3 linked regions of the Macaca fascicularis genome follow. The protein of the gene in region 2 purifies or fractionates together with the protein of the main gene of each other region. This does not show direct contact. Links are inferred from orthologs where the notes say so. Each region holds a gene or a part of one and is shown on either strand. Other genes may lie near its edges.

Region 1 (4,215 bases), on a different chromosome or scaffold from region 2:
GCCTTTCTGAAGCCTCCAGATTCTTAATTTCAAAATCTATCTAGCTCCACTGCACAGAATAGGTGCTTTCATCTTGTCTTAAGGGAAAATATAATTTTACATTTGGAGTTTTAATTTAGGCACAATGATATTTAAATAGAAGAGTCTCAAAAATTATTTTGTGATTCTCAGGGCCGCAGTCTTTTTGCAAGACAAAGACTCATGCCACAAGAAAACATCTATTGAAAATAATATTTAATAAGAAAACAATGAATAAAATTAAAAATGCTGCCAGCCAAAAGATAAGAAGAGTGAAAAATAAAGTTTTTTTAGGTGCTCCTAATGCCTTAAAAAGAAAGCCCCGATCAAAGAGAAGAGAAACAGAAATTACAACAGCATGGTAAAGGGAGGGAAGAAAAAGAAGCATGACAATACACTAAAGCAATTGTCTTAGATAGTGAGATGATATAAATTTGTCATAAATTGAAGAACAGATTGCAGATTGTTAATTACCAGCATATACCTAAAAGGTCTGACCTGTTAATTGACAACTTTCATCAAATTTGATTTAAGAAAGCTACATACGGGCCGGGCGCGGTGGCTCAAGCCTGTAATCCCAGCACTTTGGGAGGCCGAGACGGGCGGATCACAAGGTCAGGAGATCGAGACCATCCTGGCTAACACGGTGAAACCCCGTCTCTACTAAAAAATACAAAAACCTAGCCGGGCGAGGTGGCGGGCGTCTGTAGTCCCAGCTACTCGGGAGGCTGAGGCAGGAGAATGGCGTGAACCCGGGAGGCGGAGCTTGCAGTGAGCTGAGATCCGGCCACTGCACTCCAGTCTGGGCGACAAAGCGAGACTCCGTCTCAACAAAAAAAAAAAAAAAAAAAAAAAAAAAGAAATCTACATACATGTTCTTAACAAAAAATGAAAAAAATTGTTAAAAATTATCTTGCAAAGAATAACTAAAGAAAGCCAGTTTATCTATGTTTGTGTAACTTTAAATATACCTTAAGCCCAAAAGTAACTTCAGATACCACATAATGACAAAAGGTTCAATTCCTAGGAAATTATAACAGTTTTAGTTATGAATTTATCTTATTTATCTAATGATATTATTTATTATTTTATAGTGCTTCGTGGTACTATAATTAGTATATATTTCTCTTCGTATACACACATGCACAGACATCACTACACACACATATATTTATATGTATGTACTTCTTTGTCTACATGATTCTATATACATATATTTGTGTGTGAATGTATATTATATGTACACATACATATGTGATTGTGAGAGCACTACAAGGAAAAAAAAAATTTTTCTTTTTTTTGAGACAGTTTTTTTTTTCTTGCTCACTTGCCCAGGCTGGAGTGTAGTGGCACAATCTCGGCTCACTGTAACCTCTGCCTCCCGGTTCAAGCGATTCTACTGCCTCAGTATCCTGAGTAGCTGGGATTACAGGCACGCACGACCATACCCAGCTAATTTTTGTATTTTTAATAGAGATGGGGTTTCGCCAGGCTGGCCAGGCTGGTCTGGAACCTCTGACACCTCAAGTGATCAGCTCGCCTTGGTCTCCCAAAGTACTGGGATTGCAGGCGTGAACCTCTGTGCCCGGCCGAAAAAGCAAACTTTATAATAGGAGATTTCAGTTTATGTTTCAATTACTAAACGAATAAGATAAAAAAAATCCGTAATGATATAATAAATTTGAACAACGCAATTAATAAACTTAACATTTATCTAATAAAATTCTGAAATCAACATTTAAAAATCTCACATTCCATTTAAGCACACATGAAATATTGTACCAGGCTACAGAAAACATCTTTTAAAAATTTGAAAAGTAAGCAATAGTAACCTTTTCCTAATTGACTTCCCCTCCACTCCCCTATACCCTGCCACAAGGAAAAAAAAATCATTAACTTTCAGGAGGGCAGAGAGTAATTCCAAAATGACTGAAATTCTGCCCCTAGCACCCGCTGTAGAATGGAGCTAAAGTAAAAGATCAACATATTTATGAAAATATTAAGACACCATGTACCATGAATAACTGTGTTTGTGAAACTTAAAAAGATTTTCTATTCTATGTGTACATTTGTTCTCATGTTTTATAAAATTGAGATGATGTCATATAATACACCTCTATGTTCAGATGTGTTTTTTACTTAATATTCTTTCATGATACTTTTTTCACATCACTATCTTGAGAACCCACCACAGCTACCGAGTTTCCAATGCTTCTTCCAGCCAAAATAACCAAAGCCCTCTTCTAAGTACCAACTTACGCCAATACACACTCAGAGAATTAGTTTTAAAATCTGCAGTGGTCAAAATGCATTTTCTCTTGTTCAGTCCTCAGTTGTGGTGGAATAAAAGAATCCTGTTATCTTCCTAAGTAAATGAAGGATTCCTATCAAGCAACTCGGCAACTTTTCTGAATACCCAGCCCTACTCCCATCACCCCATGACCCTGAATAACGAATACTGATTGTCCCCTTGTGATTTTGGGGACTTCAAGGAAGGAACAAGATCATATTTACAAAATCAGCAACAGTACTCACCTCACTGGAAATTTTTTCAACACTAGTCCAGATGTTGAGATCTTCAGCAATGCAGAAAACAATGATTATTTTGTGTGAGGGGGGAGATAAATCAGTAAAGTTCCCAGAAACGGAACTGCAGGATGTTGTAATCTTCAGAAATGCCAAGAAAATGAAGTATGTGCAAAGATAACAAGGAAAAAAGGCCTTGGTTGAGTCAGTTAGCTGACTAGTCCTGGCTTGCTCCTATTCTGTTATTGCCCCAGAGAGAATGGAGTAGGAGCAATGTGGAGACTCCTCCCACCAGTGTTTTTAGCTTTCGTTTCTGTTAGTCAGAGAAAATGAACAGTTTCCTGCTGGCAAGGGCTAGAGGGTGTGGTGAGGGGAAGTGGGGGGATGAGAAATTACTTTAATGGGTCCAGTGAACATTTTTCGGGTGATGTGTACACTAAAATCTCTGACTTCCCCAATATGCCATATGTCCATGTAACGAAATTACACTTGTACCTCATAAATGTATATAAATACAAATAAATAAGTTTTTTTCCCCACAAAATTAAATAACTGAAAGGAATTCCAACATTAGAACTTTCTTACCCAGCAGGCTTACATGTGGGTCATTAGAGACCTATATTGTCTAAAATGATGCTCAAATATAAGAGAAGCAAGGTGGCTTCTTCTCCCTCCTTTCCTGTGCACAGAGTGGCAGTGGCAGGAGGAGATCTTGGTAGGAGCATCTATTGCTACTAATATTTTACTGCATCTCCTGGGTGGGGAAGCGTCTGCTATGAAATCGCTGTTTGTTTAAATACTACCTGAATTATTCATCCAATTGTTAATAACTGACAAACCTGGGGGATTTCCAGATCAGAAAGTCATTATGAATATGTAAACCCTTCCTCAAATTTATATGAAGGAGTTTAACACTAGCTGTCCTCTTGACTATAACTAGGTTACTTTACTTCAATGATTAGATTCATGATTGCTCATGTTTTCTGCAGTATTCATGGATAAATACAAGTGGATAGTGGGCTCACAATATGACAGCATCGAAGCCTTGAAAATCCCGGAAAATGCACTGAACTTCTGGCAGCATGAGGAGCCTGTTTAATCCTTTGCTCAGCAGTGCATTTTTCTCTGTTAAGGACAATGGATGCCCTTTAGAGTGCCGTAACCCCAGGATGTTAACTAAATGGCGTCAACTAGCAGATGATGTGGTGCTAACCCAGCAGCAGATCTGCAAGCAGGATGTGGTCATGAGTTGGAAAAGGGGCCCCATTGACAGTTAATATGTACTATTCAAGGCCATCTACAGAGCAAAAGAAAGCTGATTGTTTTAATCCAAACTAGGGCCATGAAGGGGATAGCTGAATTCTGGATTTCAAACCACACGAATAACTTTATCAAAGAAGGAATAAGTCAAGAAAAAGCAAAGAGGATCTGGAATGACAGCCATAAACACCTCTGGGTGTTCATGGTGATCTTTTACTGGCTTTAGGTTGCTCTTTATGTGGATACATTGAGTTGGCCTTAAGGCAGTAGGTAGAGAAGGATATTAGGGCGGTCATTGAGAACCCCAATCCAGAGGTCAAAGGGTAAGGACCCTTGGAAGTTATGACCATTCAAAACATTTTCTGCCTTTTACTTGTAATCATTTTATATGCAGTAATGTCCTCAATTGGG
Region 2 (3,512 bases):
ATAGGAGGCCTCAGCCTCCCAAAGTGCTGGGATTATAGACGTGAGCCACCGTGCCGGCCATCCCCACTTTAAATTACACAAGTCAGGCTACAATTTACTGAGAGTGGGAATCGAGTGGAAACATTTCTTCAACAATCAATTGTTTACGGGAATCTTCTCATAGGGCTTTAAGAAAGTTAAGCCACCTAGGAAGTAAATCCTGAAGAAGCAAAATATTGCTCAATAACAACTGGTCCACACCTGGGATAAACTACTAGTGTAGCTGCAGGTAACATTTTAACACCAAAAAAAAGTAGTACTGATATAATCTCAGGAAAAAAATAATAACAAAGCAATTTATATAGAAGTTCAACTCTGCAAAACTCTTATCATCTCATGTCCTCCTTACTTGTATCATTCTGGCCTCACCGGATGCAAGTGCTATTTCAACCTGGCAGTCATACGCAAAATGTTCAGGGGAAGCCTGTTCTGAAAACTCCCTTCCAAACCAGTCCATTCACAAAAATCTCCCCTTCTACATAAAATGCCTAGGATTTAGTCTTCAGCAGATGCTAATGTTTTGTAATGATATTCACTCATACTAACAGGTGAGAACTGCTTGACTCTAGGAAACCATCTTAAAAGAAAGAACGGGCCAGGCGTGATGGCTCACGCCTATAATCCCAGCACTTTGGGAGGCTGAGGTGAGCAGATTAACGAGGTCAGGAGATACAGACCAGCCTGGCCAACATGGTGAAACCCTATCTCTACTAAAAATACAAAAATCAGCTGGGTGTGGTGGCACACACCTGTAGTCCCAGCTACTTGGGAGGCTGAGGCAGGAGAATTGCTTGAACCTGGGAGTTGGAGGCTGCAGTGAGCTGAGATTGTGCCACTGCACTCCAGTCTGGTGACTGAGAGAGACACTGTCTCAAAAAAAAAAAAAAAGAAAAACAAGGAACGCTGGGATGCTGGGGACAATCCACTGTCCCACACACTGAGTATTTAGCATTTTGTTTTTCCTAGAAAGTATTTTTGAGGGTTTGTTTTTAACATTTTGTAACACACATATTAGAACATTCATACATGTTCATAATTTACAAGAATACTCATATATACATATCTATATTTTTTGTTTTGGTCTTGTATTTTTGTCTTCTTGGTTTTTTAAAAAAGATTAATGAACTGATCCGAATATGACTCATCAGAGGGTATGTTGCATCCATTACGGAGGAGTACAACTCTTACAACTCAATCTGCTAGAAAACAACAATAAGATTCCCCCTGTTCAATTCAACTCTCACCACCCTTCCAAATAGTACACGGTAAAAACTACTGGACAAATTATACAACACAAAACCTACAATCGCTCTCCTGCCACCATCCCCACTTTATTTTATTTTTTAATTTTTTGAGACAGAGTTTCGCTCCTGTTGCCCAGGCTGGAGTACAATGTCGCAATCTCGGCTCACCACAACCTCTGTCTCCCGGGTTCAAGTGATTCTCCTGCCTCAGCCTCCCGAGTAGCTGGGACTACAGACATGCACTACCACACCCAGCTAATTTTGTATTTTTAGTAGAGACGGGGTTTCACCATGTTGGCCAGGATGGTCTCAAACTCCGGACCTCAGGTGATCCGCCCACCTCGGCCTCCCAAAGTGCTGGAATTACACGCGTGAGCCACCGTGCTGGCCATTCCCACTTTAAATTACACAAGTCAAGCCACAATTTACCCAGAGTGGGAATCGAGTGGAAACATTTCTTCAACAATCAATTGTTTATGGGAATCTTCTCATAGGGCTTTCTTTCAAGAAAGTTAAGCTACCTAGAAAGTAAATCCTGAAGAAGCAGAATATCGCTCAAAAACAACTGGTCCACACCTGGGATAAACTATTAGTGTAGCTGCAGGTATAACAAGTTAACTCTCTTCACTGCAAAGCACCTTCCAGCTTTCTATGTATACGCTGCTCTCCAGGGTAAAGATATGCATTTGACATTTCCACACCTATTTCACGCAGGACACGTGATCCCAAAAATTAGTAGAGACTTGTCCTTACAAGCCAAACCAGCTTTGTCTTCCCTGAACACTAAGACCCCAGAAAGGTGACTCAGTCGTTTTTTATAATCCCTTTCACAGCAGATGAACATAGTTAGCAAAACAAACATTAACACAGTAAAAAACAGTAGAGTCAAAAGATTTATAATATCTAAGGCTATGTTTTTACCTGAAAGATCTTCCTTAAAGTCCATTTTTTGGTTGGAAATGAAGTTGTTGAGCATTCTATAGGGTCGAGCAGGCACATGTACTTTTTCAGTATGAGCCTTCCCTATTATTATGGTACAAGGAGAGTTTGCATGGCCTGTACTAAATTGACTGTGAACTTCGCCCACAGGCTTCTGTGGAAAATAGGAAGGACGTAAACAGGACATTAAAGCGTGAATCCACACTGAATGCAAGCTTCCATGACACCCGGATGTGTAAAGCAGCATACAGTGAGGCCCCTACCTTCGGAGTAGCAGGTCTTCTTTGCCTTTTGTTCATTGACCTTTGAGGACCATGTTTTATGAGTTTAGTTTGTGTTTGTTTTGCACCAAGTTTTACTACATCTGCCCATGATTTTGCAACTGTCAAAGGAAAAAGATGACGAAACTTTTCAAAAACTAGCATTCATGAAACAATTCACCTTAATATATGTGTTCTAACGCAAGACTAACCAATTAGATTGGCTTCCGAAGCACCACTTCTTCTTTTGGAACATATCATCTGTAAAATATCATGTTGACTTCGGCTGATAGATGCTCTCTTTGAAGGCAGGTTGCCGCTCTTTCTCCCTCCTCTCTTAGGAACCTCTGTCTGAGATTTGCTGCTGGAAGCAGGGGCTGCTTTGCAGGACCTACGGCGTTGATCATTGGCAACTGGAGTTTTCCTAGGACTAGGAGCTGGAGGGCTTCTAACCAAGCTTTGTGCCTTCACTTCCACACTGATTTCTGAAGTTGACTCTTGTTTTCCTGATGGTTGAGGCTGTTCCTGACAAGACAAAATTGTTGACAAGAAGCTTTAACAAGGATGTAACATCTCTGGAATGACTGATAAAAACCTATTCAATTAAGAATTTCAGCTGTTTAAATCTTGAAGCATCAAATGCTTAAGCCACTGTCTTTCAAGACTATGGTAGAGGTGTGACTGTCTCAGTCATTGAAGGAAAAACAGGAAACAGAAGCAAGCAAAGTCTGAAGTGAGGTCATTTCAGGTAGAAAGGTGGAATGAACGTCCTGATCAGTGAAAGACAAGCAGGATCTGATCTCAGTCCCAGTAAATACCGGCCGTGGGCACCCAGGGCCCGGCAGCCCACATGGAAGGAGGGCCGCTTGCCCCTGGGAGCCAGTGTAAAATGGAAAGGGAGCCAGGCATCACTTTCCACTCCTGTTGGGAAGAGAAGAAAAGAAAGACAGCCCAGGCCCCATTATGAAGGTTATGAGCTATAGGGCCATGAGTTCCCAGGGGTGTAAAACCCAGGAAGGACAACACAGCA
Region 3 (3,973 bases), on a different chromosome or scaffold from region 2:
ACAAATTACTGGGGGGGCGGACGAGGCTTCCTTTCTTTTTCTTTTTTTTTTTTTTTGTGACCTACCTACTTCCACAATTATTCATTCTTCTTCCTAAAGTCAGTAATAGTTTTGTCCAAGGAAGCCAAAGCACAATATAATTAAACAAACAACATACAATGCATATTTGAATTCTGAAACAAAAAAAATCAATTTGCAAACTGTTAAAAGACCAAGTGGGTACTTTTATCAGACTGACAAAAATAAAAAATTGTAAAATTGGCTTTAGTCACAAATGTAAGCTTTATGTTAAATTTTGTCTTTTAACACTAACCCCATCAGTCCTAAGGACGATATAAAATTCACAAACTTTTACAAAAACTTAAAACTGCCTTCTGCCGTTCACTTTCTATGCAAAATACTAGAACGAGTGGGGAAAAAAAAGAAAAACCATAAGTTACAAAAGAAAAACTGCTCTAAGTAGGTCACAAACCAACATAACCAAAATCTCCTAATGTTCCCTGGTGGACTGTCAGCTGAGAACAGCAAACTGAGTTAAACAAAGAACTGTCTACTTTTCTACCTGTAAGAGGTACAAAAGCTAGACTTTTCTACCGGTAAGCAGCTCCAATGGTAGGGATGTAGGGCGGCCGTGCCAAGCCTTACATTACCACAATTTGCTTCAACTCACTAGTTCCTGATAAAGGAATGCACAAGTGATCAGCTGGAGCACCGGTCTGTGAAATAATCACGTAATTTGCATATTCCTGCCCAAGTGATAACCATTTGCCTGAGGCCAAGAACTGTATTTTTTTTTTTAATATTTTAAGTAGAAACTAACAAAATTTTCCCTCAATAATGCGTAAGGTAATTTCATTCTATTTTGCCTCAAGCTGTAATAAAATTAGCTGGACTCAAGCTTTAACAGTTTAAATGCAGATCATTCTAGTGTTTTTCCATTTGACAACTTAAATTGCTCGTCTTTAAGTCTAAGTTAAAATGCTAATTCAATAGTTAACCAGTCCGTAAGGGCAGGTAACCGGAATTGCTACACCAGGAAAGTTCCAAGTAAATGTTACTTGGAACATTGTTACATTATAACGCATAACAGCTTCTCTAGAAAGAGTTTCTAGAACATGTTTATAGAAACGTTTATGTTTATAGAAGCGTTTCTATAACATAGGAAGATTTATTTCACTAAGCCAAGGAGTATGCTGGCTTTTAAATAACCTAAAATATGGTAACTCTACTAGAAAAATATAATCTCAAGTGTCTGAAGAAAAGCATCCTGTTTCTGCATATACACAGGAACCCAGCAGAGTAAATGCTAAATAAACGGAGTGTGTACACAAACTTTCATCCACTGATCTCGACTGTCACAGTTGTTTTTTCCAAGACATCTCCAACACCAGTAATTCGGCCAGGGTGACACGCGCCACAGAGATCAAATGTATATCGTAACTGGGCGCCATCCTTTCCATTCCAATTCCGTATTTTAACCCACAGATGCTAGTGAGATCTGAAACTCGTTGCTTTGCACCTCACTTCCTTCAACTATAAAGTTAATCTTCTCAAGGTCTTTCTCCAAAAGCCTCCTCCAATTAAAAAAAAAAATAGAGAGAAAAAAAAATTCAACGTCTAAAACCGGAGCCTAACTTCCCGCTGGCGGGAATTTCCCATCACCAATCTGAGTTTCAAACCCGATGAGGAACACAGTCGATGTTCTTTTGCACTTACTCATCATTTTCCCTACTTTTTTCCAGAAGTTACTGTGGCGGCACATCTACCCACGGCCTGTACGAATACACGTAGAAAAGCAGCCCAAACCCTTTTCCTTTGTCACATTCCCACTACCAACCCTTGTCTCCCTGGAAGCCCAGAACTAGCCCAAGTACAAATGCCGCTGCAGCCTGCTCGGCAGGTGGCCTTTTGAGGCTGATGCTGTCCCGAGGGACAAGTGCTCTGGGGGCAAAGAATAAAACAGGCTTGGGAAGCGGGGGACTCGGAGTCAGAGGGACCGGCGTCAGCAAATCCCCGCCCTTCCCGTGCGTGCCTGTGACCCCGCTCTCCAGACCCTTGCCTTGGGCCGCTACGGAAGGAGGACAGCCGTACCCACCTCGCCGGTTCACTGCGACAATCAAATCAAAGGCAGAAAAGCGGCTCCGCACAGTGCCGGGCACATAGCGAGAGCGTGGAAAGAACACTGGTTGTTACTATCACTCCGTGCACTCGCTGCTCCCTTTCCTCCCTGCAAAACTGAAGGCACTTCTGCGGCGCGCGGACCACAAGACTCTAGACTTTAGTGCTGCACCCACCCTTAAACGAAAGCTTCCTTCTGGTCCGAACCGACTGGATCTCTTGGCCAGGGGACGAAAAGACTCCGCAGGCGCGTGGCGGAGTGGGTGGCGGGCGGGAAACGCTGGGCGCAGAGCCCCTAGTCCTCGAGGCCGCCCTGGGGCCCGGGCGGCGGCCGCGACTCACTCCCGCCCCGCGTGGCCGTTGAACGCAGCACGCGCACGCGGCGGACACGGCCACGCGCCCCAGTCGGGAGGGGAGGGGGAGCGGGGAGCCGCCGCGCTCCCGTCCGTCCGCCGCGCGCGCCTGCGGCCGTTGGGGCTGGGGTGGGGGTGGGGGACGCGCCTGGCGCGGCCGCCGCGAGCGCCACTCAGACTTCTCCCTCTCACAATTGCCGCGGCTCAGCTTAGTCCTCTGGCTGCCCTGCCCCGCCCACACCCCTGCATACCTACCTGATTGAGCTGGAGAGGAACTAGCTCTGCTCCACAGCACCAAGGATAACAGAAACCCCTCACGCAACTGCGTCCGCACACACGCGTGCTCCGCCGCCGGTCTATATAGCTGCCACTCACCCTAACTTGTTGCGGCCAGGTCGGGCGACGGGATGACCAATCCCGACCGCGTCCTCCGGGCTCTTCGAACAGCAATTGGGCACTTACTGGGGATGAAGGCGTGGCTCTTGATTGGCTTTGACTCATGCCTATGAGACTGTGAGGATCTCGTTTCCCTAGTAACAGATCGGCACTAAGAGAGACCAATAACCGAAAAGTACAATAGAAAGGCGGGTGAGCAGTTCTTTGACTGATACCCAGAGTAGCCAATAAATATGCGGAGCTGCTCTTATTCGTTAACACGTCTTCCCCTGGGCGGAGATCCGTTTTCCATGCAGGAGCGGTTGCGCCACAAGGTGGGGCCCGTGTACTTTGGGGAAGTAAACCCCTAGCAACTAGGAGGCGGGCGCCCGAGAGGCCAAGACAGCCTGTGGCCAATCGCAATGCCGGAAGGAGTTGATAGACACGGAGGTTACGCTGCTCGGAAGAGACCGAGCCCCAGGGCGACCGTGCCCTCTGGGCGGTTGTGAGGTTATGCAGGCTGCGGCTTCTGCTCTCTTTCCTTTCTTTCTCTGACTTGCTGGGTCCCGGCTCTGAGGCGTGCACACCGCCTTTTCTGCACAGTTTGGTACCTGTGGGGAACTAAGTGGCAAAGTTTCCCGGGTGGTTTTGTTTTTATTACAACTTTTTTTTTTTTACATACGACGGCCAAGGGCCTTGCTGCCCTCACCATTACTCAGCACTGCTGTGGGGCACGGGAAGGAAAGTCGCTCCTGCGCCGCCTACGGGCTCCCGCCGGAAGGTAGCCAGTGGAAGTGCCTGGGAGCGCGCCCTTCCGCCAGGCGCTTCCGGGCGGGTGCTGCGAGGCGGCCGCGGGCGTGTGGCGAGGCTCCCTTTGTGGCGGCTGAGGCACGGTGGTCCGCGCGTGCTCCAGTGTAGTTTGGGCCCTCGCACCACGTCTCGAGCCGCGGCACTATTGTTCAGCCTCCAATTGCCGCGGATGGGGGCTTATTCTCGTCGCTACGCCTTTAAAGGGCAACTCATCCCCTCCTCCTGGCGTCTCAGGCACTGGCGGGGCTATAACTCATGGCTGGGCGGCCGTGCGTGGGTCGCCGTGGGCATTTTCTGTGGAAATAGCTTTGGTTCCC

The links. Proteins that work in one complex are often made in the same cells at the same time.
Region 1: the proteins of MKI67 (region 2) and gamma-interferon-inducible protein 16 purify together in Homo sapiens (affinity purification with mass spectrometry; 3 studies listed by BioGRID and IntAct, with this or other methods). This does not show direct contact. The link is inferred for Macaca fascicularis from reciprocal best matches to the Homo sapiens genes MKI67 and IFI16.
Region 3: the proteins of MKI67 (region 2) and G3BP1 purify together in Homo sapiens (affinity purification with mass spectrometry; 3 studies listed by BioGRID and IntAct, with this or other methods). This does not show direct contact. The link is inferred for Macaca fascicularis from reciprocal best matches to the Homo sapiens genes MKI67 and G3BP1.

Annotation. Positions count from the first base shown.
Region 1 is NC_088375.1:102,071,813-102,076,027, forward strand, and holds the start of gamma-interferon-inducible protein 16, read right to left. Parts: upstream 2,806-4,215; 5' UTR 2,554-2,805; intron 1-2,553.
Region 2 is NC_088383.1:137,074,426-137,077,937, forward strand, and holds part of MKI67 (proliferation marker protein Ki-67), read right to left. Parts: intron 3,008-3,512; coding exon 2,695-3,007; intron 2,605-2,694; coding exon 2,486-2,604; intron 2,377-2,485; coding exon 2,205-2,376; intron 1-2,204. UniProt on the Homo sapiens protein: Protein that associates with the surface of mitotic chromosomes and acts both as a chromosome repellent during early mitosis and chromosome attractant during late mitosis.
Region 3 is NC_088380.1:158,622,724-158,626,696, reverse strand, and holds the start of G3BP1 (ras GTPase-activating protein-binding protein 1), read right to left. Parts: upstream 2,806-3,973; 5' UTR 2,727-2,805; intron 2,459-2,726; exon of another isoform or gene 2,295-2,458; intron 1-2,294. UniProt on the Homo sapiens protein: Protein involved in various processes, such as stress granule formation and innate immunity. Plays an essential role in stress granule formation.